3 linked regions of the Saccharomyces cerevisiae S288C genome follow. The gene in region 3 interacts genetically with the main gene of each other region. Each region holds a gene or a part of one and is shown on either strand. Other genes may lie near its edges.

Region 1 (3,758 bases), 110 kb from region 3:
GTGAACATAATATGTGCCTGGTTGCTATTTTTCGAAACAATACATTAGAACTACAACCCAGTAAAAAAAGATTAACTGTATATATTGCCTGAGAGTTCTAGATCATGGCAAGAAAAAAGCTTGAACTCGTAAAAGCAAAGGTGGTTTCTACCACTACTTACGAGATGTTTATTATGTAAAGGAGTTTAAATATTATCAAATAAGAAAGATACCATTTTTTTTTATAGAGAATGTGGTGCATCTGATGAGCACCTGAATCTAGTAGTAACCTTATACCGAAGGTCACGAAATTACTTTTTCAAAGCCGTAAATTTTGATCATAAATTATTATTATCTTCAGTCCAGAACTTTCTGGCTTCCTCATCAGCTGCCGTATCGGGAGTGTACATGTCGACGGGTTCAACTTCTCCCTCTTTGTAACTTGCATCAGCAAACGGTCCTATCCTAGTATTTTTTGAACTCGTAGGTGTGGGCAACTGATAAAACTGATTTTTCTCTATATCATCTGCAGTCTCAGAAACAAAAGTTCTTTCCGAATGTTTATCCGATGTTGTTTCCTTCCTTCTAGGATATAGGTCATATAATCTACTTCTGAGACTGCTTTTAGCATCGTTGTTGATACTATCAGTTTGAAAGCTAGACAGCGTGCCTGGATAAAACCTATCTGTGGATGTTGTAAAGTCTGAAGTAATTGTGTTTGTTTTGGATGCATTATTAGCAGCCGTGGCCCACATTGATGATAATGGTAAAGACAATACAGCAAGTAATGTTGCAACAGTAGTCAAGACATCTGTTCCCTGGTTTGGTTTCAAACTGTATGCGAGGATGAATATTATCGATGGAACCAACAAAGATTGACATGACATTATGAGTAAAATATGGAAACTATCGAACTGCTTGAGACCAAGGAATCTTCTTGATCTAATAGCTAAAATCAATTTAACTACCAGGACAAATGACATAAAGTTTATTGAGGATGCAAGTAAAATTGTGGATGCATTGAAGTATTTATCTTGGGTGGCACTAACATCATTATAAGTCACAATCATACCTTTAACAGCGCTTACAAAATACATGGTAACTGTAGCAATCCCTAAAGTGAAAGATATCGACGTCAGCATCAAACCTATCCTTTTGAAGTTGTCGCCTGTGAAAATAACTTTTATCTGAAACACCAGTGAAGTCTCAATAGAAGCCACAAGAAGGACTTGAATTATATTTGTAGCACCATAAACATGAACGTCACCTCTACTGATGAACTGAGGAAATCCGGTGAGAGCGTAAGTCACTGAAGAGTAATTAGACAGTAAATATTTAAAATAGAGTGCAGAATGCAAAATGATTAAAAACAATGAAACTTGGTTGATAATGAAAATCGGCGTTTTTCTGCTTCTCGATGTCATCCACATGACAATCAAAGTCAAAGCAGCTGCACCACATCTGACACCAAACATAATGGCCTGAGTAACAGTACTGTTAACTAAACCTTGCAACTCATCGAAAGTGATGGTAGATCCATTCCCATATATGGAAGTGTAGTTAATGGTGCTTTGACCAGGATTATACGTTGGATCATAAAATAGATTGCTCAATGAAGGAGCCGCATCAGACATTTTTGATTCTTGGATATGGTTCTTAACGGTGCATTTTTAAGTAACCAATTATAATTATAGCCAGAGCAGGTGAAAAGAAAAGGTATCGTATTGCTTTGAAGTCAAATAAGATACTAATAGCACTCCTTAAATAGTATTCCACCCACAGAAAAAAATCTTGAATATGTAGGAAAGCTTTTTTCTTCATATGTGTTTCATCATGTACTTACCCAATTAGGAAATTTACATGGTTGAAAAAACTTCAATCTGCGACTTGCCAGGCACAGGTCCTAAGCAGTATGGACGTTGGCCTGCTTAAATTCTTAGCGGATACTATTGTTTCATTGCAAAGCAGGATACTTCTTCTCGTTTATACTAGCCTGTCTTAATGCACGAGACATTTACCCACAGAGCAAGACGTATATTGACGGATTGCAACACCTATTCGAGCACTACAGCGTGTGACAATGCATTTTGGCAGGCATTGGATAACATATCCGGACTATTCTACAGTTCGTTCTATGCTCTTATCTTGAATCTTTGGTGTATTAAAAAGCTTATTGAGGTTTCATAGCTAAATTTTTCCTTTTTTCTCTCTGGGAAGGGAAGATTATCTTGAATTGGCAAAGTAAAGAAATAAAGAGAAAATTTAGCAAATGACATAGAACAAGCCAATTAACAAAATACGATGCCATTAAGGTCATTATTTCATACTAATCAGAGTAGCCACGACAAAGACGCGTTGACAAGGGGAGGTTATAACGCATATCTGGAATCACTTTCTCGTTGTGACAGTGGAAAGGCAGAAGAACAAAAAGGAAAAGTTATATCAAAGTTATTAGAGAAAAAAGATGTCCGAGCTTTGAGGTACATAGGTTTAGGGCCTCTGGGGTTTGTAAACAACTCATTAAGAAAAGATTGTTGGTATGAATTATTGGCGTCCCAGTTGCTTATTGATGATGCAACAGAGTACATTACACCAGTGGAAAAACATAAAGATGAAGGTCAGGTGATATTGGATGCAGAAAGGTCTTTTGGTGGAATTGTCGACAAAAACTTGAAACTGCAATTGAGAAAACTACTGGTGGAGTTAATTACTCGGGTATTGAGAAAGTACCCAACGTTGAACTATTACCAAGGTTATCATGATATTGTGTCTGTTTTCATCATGTGTTTTAGTTGGAATGTCACAAAAGAGAACGGACTGGAACTAGAAAATCTCTCATTGCAAGAAGAAATTGATATGGAAAGGCTGTTTTATTGCATCGAAGCATTTACCCTATTATATCTGAGGGATTTCATGATGAACTCACTAGATTTTTCATTTGAGCAATTGAGAGTAATCTCTTCATTGATAAAGGAATCAAACATGAAATTCTATAATCTATTCAAATTTGACGAAAATGAGCCCCTTTTCGCTATTGGGTCAATATTGACAATCTTTGCACATAATTTGAAACCTATAGATAGCGGTGACAACAATCTTCATAAAATTCTTTTCCAGATATTTGACATGACAATATCGATGCAATCTATGCGTTTACCTTTGATCATATACAAGAACCTGCTATTGCAAAATGCGTCTGAAATTTCGAAGCAAATAGAAGCTAATTCTGATTTCTTCGAGAACGATTTTGACCTGCGCCATGGTGCTATACAAACAGTTTTACAGAAAAAACTGTATGATGAGGCGCTTTGGGAAGAAGTCTTGCAAATAACTAGAAAAGATGCGACTACTGCCAGCAAGAAGGCTTTGAAACGGGTGAGTCTTAATAAATATAGTGCATTACTCAATACAGCATGTGGAAAGCCAGGATGCTTCGATATGAGCACCATTATCTTCTATTTGAGCGAACAAACAAAGATGAACGAGCATTACAAGGAAGAAAAGTATCATGGTGTCGCCGCCAGATCCAAGACAAGGGCGTTGGTCCAAAGACTTGGCCATTTTTTACCCTCCAAATATAACAGGTGGAGCAAAATTTCTTTACTTATCGGGATTGTAGCTATCCTGTACCAATTACGGACTACAAGGTCGTTGAGTTTAGTACTCAATCTACGTTACATGATCTCCACAAAGTTGAAAGACTTATCACATATAAATATAAATTTGCACCACGTTAGTCACATCTGGGTGGATCCGATTAGGGACATTTTGAAACTGGG
Region 2 (3,758 bases), on a different chromosome or scaffold from region 3:
GCAATCATGGTTTTATGTCACACATTCGCCCTGGGCGGTGATGATATTAATATTCTATGAGGGTTTTCTTGGTGGTGCGTCATATGTTAACACATTCTTAAATATTCTCGAACAAGAGGATCCTGATGAAACAGAGTTCGCCATGGGTGCTGTGTCCATCGCTGATTCCTTTGGCGTTTTTTTGGCTGCGTTACTTGGTTTGGGGCTAGAACCCAAACTTTGTAGGCATCAAATTGCCGATGACAGACCTTGGTGTAGGATGGAATAAAGTTTTGTTGTGATATTAAATAGGAGATTGAAATAAAGTGTTAGATGCTTTCTATATACTCATTCTAATGCCTGCTAATAACTCTTCGATAATTCGTTGATTTCTATCATTACTTTGAATGGTACTCAATATGCCAAAACACTGCAGTAATGTCAATTTATCTGTTTCTGTGACATTACTTTCTTCTTCTTGATTGAAAATGTAAAGTTGAAAACTTTTGCTGATACCATCGTTACTATTTACGAAGTTTTCATAACAAGGTAAGACTATTGAATCTCTAAAGCACATAAGCAAAAGAAACCCAATAGAATAATTACCATTAATGTGAGTCCGACTTTCATTGCCTGACTTTAAAACCGTAGAATTACCATCTTCTCTGATACTCTGATCCAACGGTAATAACACAGCGGCTAAATCATAATATACCTCTTGATAAAATATCCGCCATATAACGCCTAATCTTTTCAATGCGTTATTTATTGTGTCTTCATTAGAATAGTTAAAAACAATTTGGTTTTCTAAATTGTATAGGGAACTAACCAAAAATTCTTTCAAATCGCTGATAATTCTATTCATGCCGCTATGTGTGACTCTTGGATCTGTTTTTAAAATGCAATAGAATTCTAAAACTTCGTTAAAATTTTCTATTTTGGCCCTGAGTTTCCATATTCTTTGAGTTCTGAATAATTCTGCTACGTTACTACAAAATATATTCCAAATATTATTTGTTAGGGTTGTCAGTTCTTGGGAGTTGAAGTGTTTATAGTTAGCTTCCAGAGATGGTAAATTTCTTAAAAGGTCGTGTAACATTGAGACCGGATTCGGTGAGGCAGGATCAGTTCCAGAAAGCGGATCCTCAACGATTGTGTTGGGATTGACACCAGATGGATTAACATTCAATGAGTACACAGAAGTTCCTGAGTCCACAAGTTGCCCCGCATTAGTATGAATAAATTGTGACGGAGATTTATGTCTTCCGTAAGAGGAATGCAGAAATTTACTCAAGGAATTTGGAATTGCAGGCTCGATAGCATCTTGACCAATGTGCCTGTGGCTTTTATTTTGGAAAAAGTTCTTAATCACGTTTCGAAATGAATGTGAACTATTATGTAAGGTGCTTGAATCTGTCAAAAAGGAGGCAGGATCCGATGAAATGGTCGTATGTGCTCTGTTTCTCCTATTAAAAAAGCCAGAAGCCTTTCCTTTCATATACCTGCCGGAGGGCGTGGAGTGTAAACTTTTCTGAGTAATGGATATTGCATCAGAAGATAACTTTTTAGATAGATTGTTCGAGCACTCCACCGTGTCAACGCTATGAGATTCCCCTATCTGAGAAGAACCAGATTTAGATGTTGCAGCTGAGGCATTGTCATTGCTCCTCAAGGAATGATTTGAGGCCACACTGACCTTCGATCGAGGATGATCTACTGTATGGAATATGGATTGGAAGCCAACGTTAGAAACACTAGGGCTAATGGGGTTCCTCGAGCCCTTCAAATTCTTGATGGAATAAACGTCATCATTTGATGTGTCTACAAGAGTTTGCCGGCTAATCTCGCTTGTAGTCTGAAAATTTTTTACTGGGGCTGTGGCTAATTGCACATTAAGGTATTGTTCGCTATTGACAGGGCGTTGTGTCGTAGTAGATGTTCTTTCTCGAAGGAGTATATCTTCTGCTGTCATAATGAAAGAACTTTATTTCTACAGAGGTCAATTGGCGTTTCTGTCACCTAGATCTTTTCATTTGGTTATTCCCTCTATAAATTTACTCATCGGTCAATTTTTCTAACATTATGCACCTTTGTCACCGGCCCTTAGAAGAGGTGAAGATGATTCGTGAACATTGGTGATAAGCGAGAATATTTTCTATAAATTTGTAAAGTAAAAATAAATTACGTGCTATTTAGTTTGCAATGTGTACTTATTGTTAGTATATGTATTTTTTGCATGCGGCGATGAAGGCCAGTAAAACCAACGCTCTTGCATGCTTACCTCTTTCATCAGCTGGTGATTTAAAAACCATTCCCAACAATATCAGTGACATATAAGAGAGCCACGACCCCGTTTTGGTACACTTAAATATGATTATCGTTAATATCATAGAAACTAGTTTGTAACAAACCTGGATTGTTCTATTTAAAGCAGAATACTTTTGGAGGTTTTGGGTTGATACGGTGCTCAAATTTTCCTCTGGTGCTGGTAATGATAAAGTAACGTTGTCTCCGTCAATATAATCATCAGTAAAACTGTTGGTATTCTCATTCACTTCCGAGATTGTACTGAAGTTCAAAGTGCTATCCACATTTTCTTTCCAGAATTTTTTGCCGGGTTTGGAATTTATTAGCATTTCATCTAACGTCTCCTCCACTGTCTTCGCTGTGGGTCTAGCATCATTATTTGGTTGTAAAAGAGCGTCCATTAGGTGAAATATTCTACGGTCTATTGGTTTCAATTTCATCGCTTGATGCTTTTCAATCATACCTTCAGTGTCGAACCTAAAATTTTTGATGCGTACCTTCAAATCAACTATATCCAACTGTGGTTCAAAGGGCAATTCACCGAAGACAATAAAATAGCAAATCATTCCTAGAGAATACATATCGGAAGCAAAGGTGTATTCATTGTATGTGTGACTCGATCTTGAAGGCAACGTAGAAGAAGAAACTGGTCTCCCCTGGATAATAAGGTCTGGTGCTGTAAACTCTAATGTTCCTGTGCAACCAGTACCCAATCTGGACTCTCCTTCCAACTGACTTTCCCCCAAATCGCCAATAACAATTGATGGGAAAAACTCATCTGAATTGTGTTCCCTGTCGTATACGTTGTCATTCTCATTGTCACTTTTAAATGGAGTCAATAATAAACAGTTGGATGGTTTCAAGTCCCTATGTATTAGGCCAATACTGTGCAGTTCGTGTAAACCTCTTGCAATATCCCTTATAATGGATACGAGCTGTTCCGTAGATAGGCCAACTTCTCCTGATTTACCGTGATTTTTCTTGCGAGTTCTAAATTTTTTTTTCCTCTCTTCAGGTGATTCGGTATCTGAGAACCTATTGAACACTTTTCTTAGAATACAGTCTTCTAAATTGCCGCCACTGCAATACTGTTGTAAAATGAAAATACAAGGAACTTCTTCTTGTGAATCCGATTGGCTCCCATCAATGGATCTGACAAATCCAACCGAAGAATCCATTTCGAGCCACACATGATTATACGTAATCAAATTGGCACTTTTGTGAGTTAGCGAACTCAACGCTTTCACTTCCCGTATGCACTTATTAAACCATTCCATATCATTTCCAATAGGTATTTTTTTTAGTGCAAAAACACCTAATTCAGTATTACCAATTGTGTGTACAACTTTGTAAACAGAACCTCTTGCACCATTTCCCAGCAAAGACAATATTTTGAAAAATTTACGAAAGTATCCGGGGATAAACAAATCATCTGGAATAAAGTATTTGTTTTTGCTGAACTGTCCCTGCTT
Region 3 (3,758 bases):
GAAGGAGGAAGGTCCTCACCAATGATATCATATTTCATTGCCTTGCCATACGATGGAACCTTGTTCAGGTTTTGAGTCTCTGGATAATTTAAGCCCGAGGGCACTGGTAACACTTCATGGGCTGACACGCTTGGGGCTGGGGATCTTGAAAGTAAAACAGGTGATACGTTACTATGTACTCCTGGCACAGAGCCACTATTGGGACCAAGAGCACTCTGAGGTAAGATTCTCTCCGTGCCATCCTCTGGTGCTGGAACGTTTAGTAATGGAGATAGCGATCTGGAAGCGGCAGCAGACGAGGCAGACGGTGGTAGCCCTAGATTGTCACGTTGATTTCTAATTTTTGTCAACCGTATACGTAAATCTTCTAAATCCTGTTGCTGATCCTCGACAGTCGAACATTCGCTTCCCAAAGGAGTACATGTTCCAGACGTTTCCACAGCCGTGCGAGTGAAAGAACCGCTATAAAGACGATCATATACGTGCATTTCATAATTTGGGGGCGTCATCAAGTCTGAAATGGTAGGAACAGAGCCACCGCTACGCATATCCGCTAATAATTCCAACCCTGTGACTGATGCTGATCTAGAAAACAGATATTCCTCTTCCTCTTCTTGTGATGAGTTTTCGTCTTTCTGGTTAGTGGTGCTAAAAAGCGAATACAAATTCGAGGATGACAATGGTTTTATTGAAAGTGCCACAAATGGTGAAATAAAAAGTTGAATCGGTAAGGACGCTCTTAACTCAGATTTATGACCATCTGGGTTAATTAGGATGATGAAAAATTTGAGCTTATGGCGAACCTTAATGTTAGAGCGGACATCACAATCTTGCACACAGTTTGATAAGCTGTTCGGGATTTGCAGGATGGTATCAATCTCCCACTTGTCTTGGAATGAATGATCAGGCTGAAAAAAGGGGTTATTTACAAAGCAACCATTACCATTAAATTCTCCAGATGACTCGTTCAAGGGATCTTCAAGATTTAGTTCTGTCACTTGCCTATTTTCAGAAATTACTGGAGGGAAGGGGTCACAATATTGATAATTCTCAAATAATACGACTTTGATTGAGCCCAATTTCAAACCTTTCGAAAGAGGTACAATGGAAATATTTATAGGGGTGGCTGAACCAATAGCTACGGCTTTGTTGGGTACTGAAATAGAATAATCCACTTTGTCGGGCCATGAGTTATCTACACAAACAGTTTCTGATAACTCCACTGCTGCGGGTGAAATGGTTCTCAGAACTCTAATATTTTTCCTACAGATCAAATCACTATAATTTTTGCTGCGTTCAATAACGGATTCCATGCTATATGTCACGAAGCAATTTGGCAAAGATTCTACGCTCTCTGGTAACGAACCAGGCAAAATAGCACTAAAGGGAAAATCGTAGTTGCCCTTATCTAAAGTACATGAAGAGGGTGAGGAGGACCCCTTTAAAGACTTCAAGGAACTTGTGGACTGAGCTCTTTGGCGAGTGCCCAAGATATTACTTGATGAGCTACTGCCCGCAAGGCCAGATTGCCCTCTTAAACCACTCAGATACTCCTTGAGGTTAACATTATCCCATGCGTAATTATAAAAAACTTTGTTGTACTTTCTGATCTTTGGCGGCGATGAAGACAACGACGAAGAACTAGCGTCCTGGGGCCTCTCTAATGGTACGTCTATTTGTATCTTCCCATAAAGTCTCAATGATATGCTTTTGATCTGCATGGGTTCGTTAATCGATAAAACGATGCAACCAGATAAAAGCACCGAGGGGGCCTCGTTTGGAGGACCTTTGAGGAGTATTACATCGTTGTCAACATTTTTAAGTCTGATATCGAAAAGCAGAGGCTTTTTCTTAGTTGATTTACCGCTACTGAAGCCCATGTCGAACTTTTTGTATTTTTATTTTGCTAAGAGAGCTGCCTCTATGTAGCAACAATAGATATTGGCTCTTTATCAACGCCAATTATATAAACGAAAATAGCAAAAGGGTTTATACGCACTTTAAAACACCCTGATTCATCTATTAGCCGTATAGAGAATATACCGCATCACAAGTGATTTACCCGCGTGAAGTTAACTCTTCCGAGGAATCAAATACCAACTGATCCAAATTCGTAATCAACAGGGCTAAGCCGGAAGGAGGCTTCGTAGCGTAGTAACGTCACTCCAGTGATCCTTTTTCGACAAACAAATACTCGATCCATGAAAGCCATTTTTTTGAATTTTTATATCGAAAATTTCCCCTTTAGGCGAGTTCTATTGTTTTAAATAAAAACACCGCAACAAGATAATGGTGACGAAAATATTATGCAAAAGGATAGATTATACGCAGGAGTTTATATAAACTATATTGTGTATGCGTTGTGACGTACGGAAGGCAGCGCGAGACACTTCCGTGATCAATCCATCAAGATGGAATACTGTGACAATATTAAGCAATCGCCGCCTCTCTCCGGGTCCATAACAAAGTTGTATAGGTATCCATCCGAGGAAACGACCCTGATGGGGACCATCTTCATAACAGGCTCATGGTAGGACTCTGTACTTGCGGAATTGCCAGTTTCGAAGAGTTCCGGATACTCGGATGTGTCTATATCTATTGGAGAGCCTATACTTGATATGGTCATTACATGGGAATTGGTTTCAACGGGAAGTTTCAAAGACGCAAAATGGCGCGAGGATTCCAACAACGATGTAACTTTGATGGGGAAAATCTGACCCAATGTTCTGGCAGCTCTTCGGGATAGCTTTTGAGAAGAGTAACGTATCATCCTACCCATTGTCTTTCTTGATGCATCCACATATGGTTCTCTTGCGAGTCTTGTCGGGTTTTCCTCGTCACTCAGCGCATCGATACTGGTGGTATCGAGCGATGAATCATCGGCTGCAGCTTCTTCCATGTTGCTATCATCGCTGTCTAGTTTATTGTTGCTCATTGAATGCCCCAATTTGAAGATATGCACGGTTTTGGAAGAGCCGGTAACCGCCAAGTACTGGCTATCTTCACTGAATGATATGGAGTAAATTCTTGTCGCGTACGTCCCTCTCCTGAATTGGTAGATCTTATCACCCGTTTCAATGTCAAAGACCCTGATGATAGTACCTTTATCAGAGGCGGTAGCCATTAGTGTCCCATCAAAACTAATTGCCATTGCAGCAATCTCGCCCTTATGAGCTTCGATGACCATGGTTGGCTGTAATGTTTCCAAGTTGAATACGATCACATCACCATTCTTTATTATACTGCTGTTACCGCCGTTACTGCTTGTTGGATCCGCATCATCCCTCTTAGTAAAGCTCGAATACTGATCCAAGTCGCTAATGTCACTATGGCCAGCATCTTGCTGATCTCTCTTGAAACTGGTCTCTGTGTTGCCACCAACTGACAATGTGATATTGTTTGTGGTGGCATGAGCTTTAATTTCGGAGTTAATAACTTTTGGTGGTGATGGATACACTAAATAGCTGTTGGCTACCGAAGGAGACATAGCCATAAGGCCACGTGGGTTAGGGTTTGTTTCTATAGTATGCAATAGTCTCATGGTGTTGATATCATAAATATAAATCTGCTCTTGTAAAAGTACCACCAATCGAGACTTATTCATTTTCACACTCAGAATAGAAGTAGGGAAAGTCACCTCACAGATAATAGAATGTTTTTTTGTGTTGATTATACGCAATCTCCTTGGTGAAAGCGCAGGTTGATCGCCTATCCCAACGAGGGCTAGTAACGAGGTGGAGAACAACATCTCGACGATA

The links.
Region 1: of ROG3 (region 3) and STE2, changing one enhances a phenotype caused by changing the other (phenotypic enhancement), as found in Saccharomyces cerevisiae (one study listed by BioGRID).
Region 2: mutations in ROG3 (region 3) and BIT61 together harm fitness more than expected from each alone (negative genetic interaction), as found in Saccharomyces cerevisiae (2 studies listed by BioGRID).

Annotation. Positions count from the first base shown.
Region 1 is NC_001138.5:80,435-84,192, reverse strand, and holds STE2 (alpha-factor pheromone receptor STE2), read right to left. Parts: upstream 1,614-3,758; coding exon 318-1,613; downstream 1-317. Other genes in the region: BST1 (Bst1p), read left to right, coding at 1-48; GTPase-activating protein GYP8, read left to right, coding at 2,281-3,758. UniProt on the Saccharomyces cerevisiae protein: Fungal class D1 G-protein-coupled receptor that acts as an alpha-factor pheromone receptor performing pheromone-dependent signal transduction involved in cellular conjugation, mating projection assembly, and in cell fusion.
Region 2 is NC_001142.9:325,923-329,680, forward strand, and holds BIT61 (Bit61p), read right to left. Parts: upstream 1,952-3,758; coding exon 320-1,951; downstream 1-319. Other genes in the region: amino acid transporter YHC3, read left to right, coding at 1-268; protein kinase IKS1, read right to left, coding at 2,196-3,758. UniProt on the Saccharomyces cerevisiae protein: Component of TORC2, which regulates cell cycle-dependent polarization of the actin-cytoskeleton and cell wall integrity.
Region 3 is NC_001138.5:194,955-198,712, reverse strand, and holds the start of ROG3 (Rog3p), read right to left. Parts: upstream 1,881-3,758; coding exon 1-1,880. Other genes in the region: phosphoinositide binding protein ATG18, read right to left, coding at 2,399-3,758. UniProt on the Saccharomyces cerevisiae protein: Involved in resistance to GST substrate o-dinitrobenzene (o-DNB).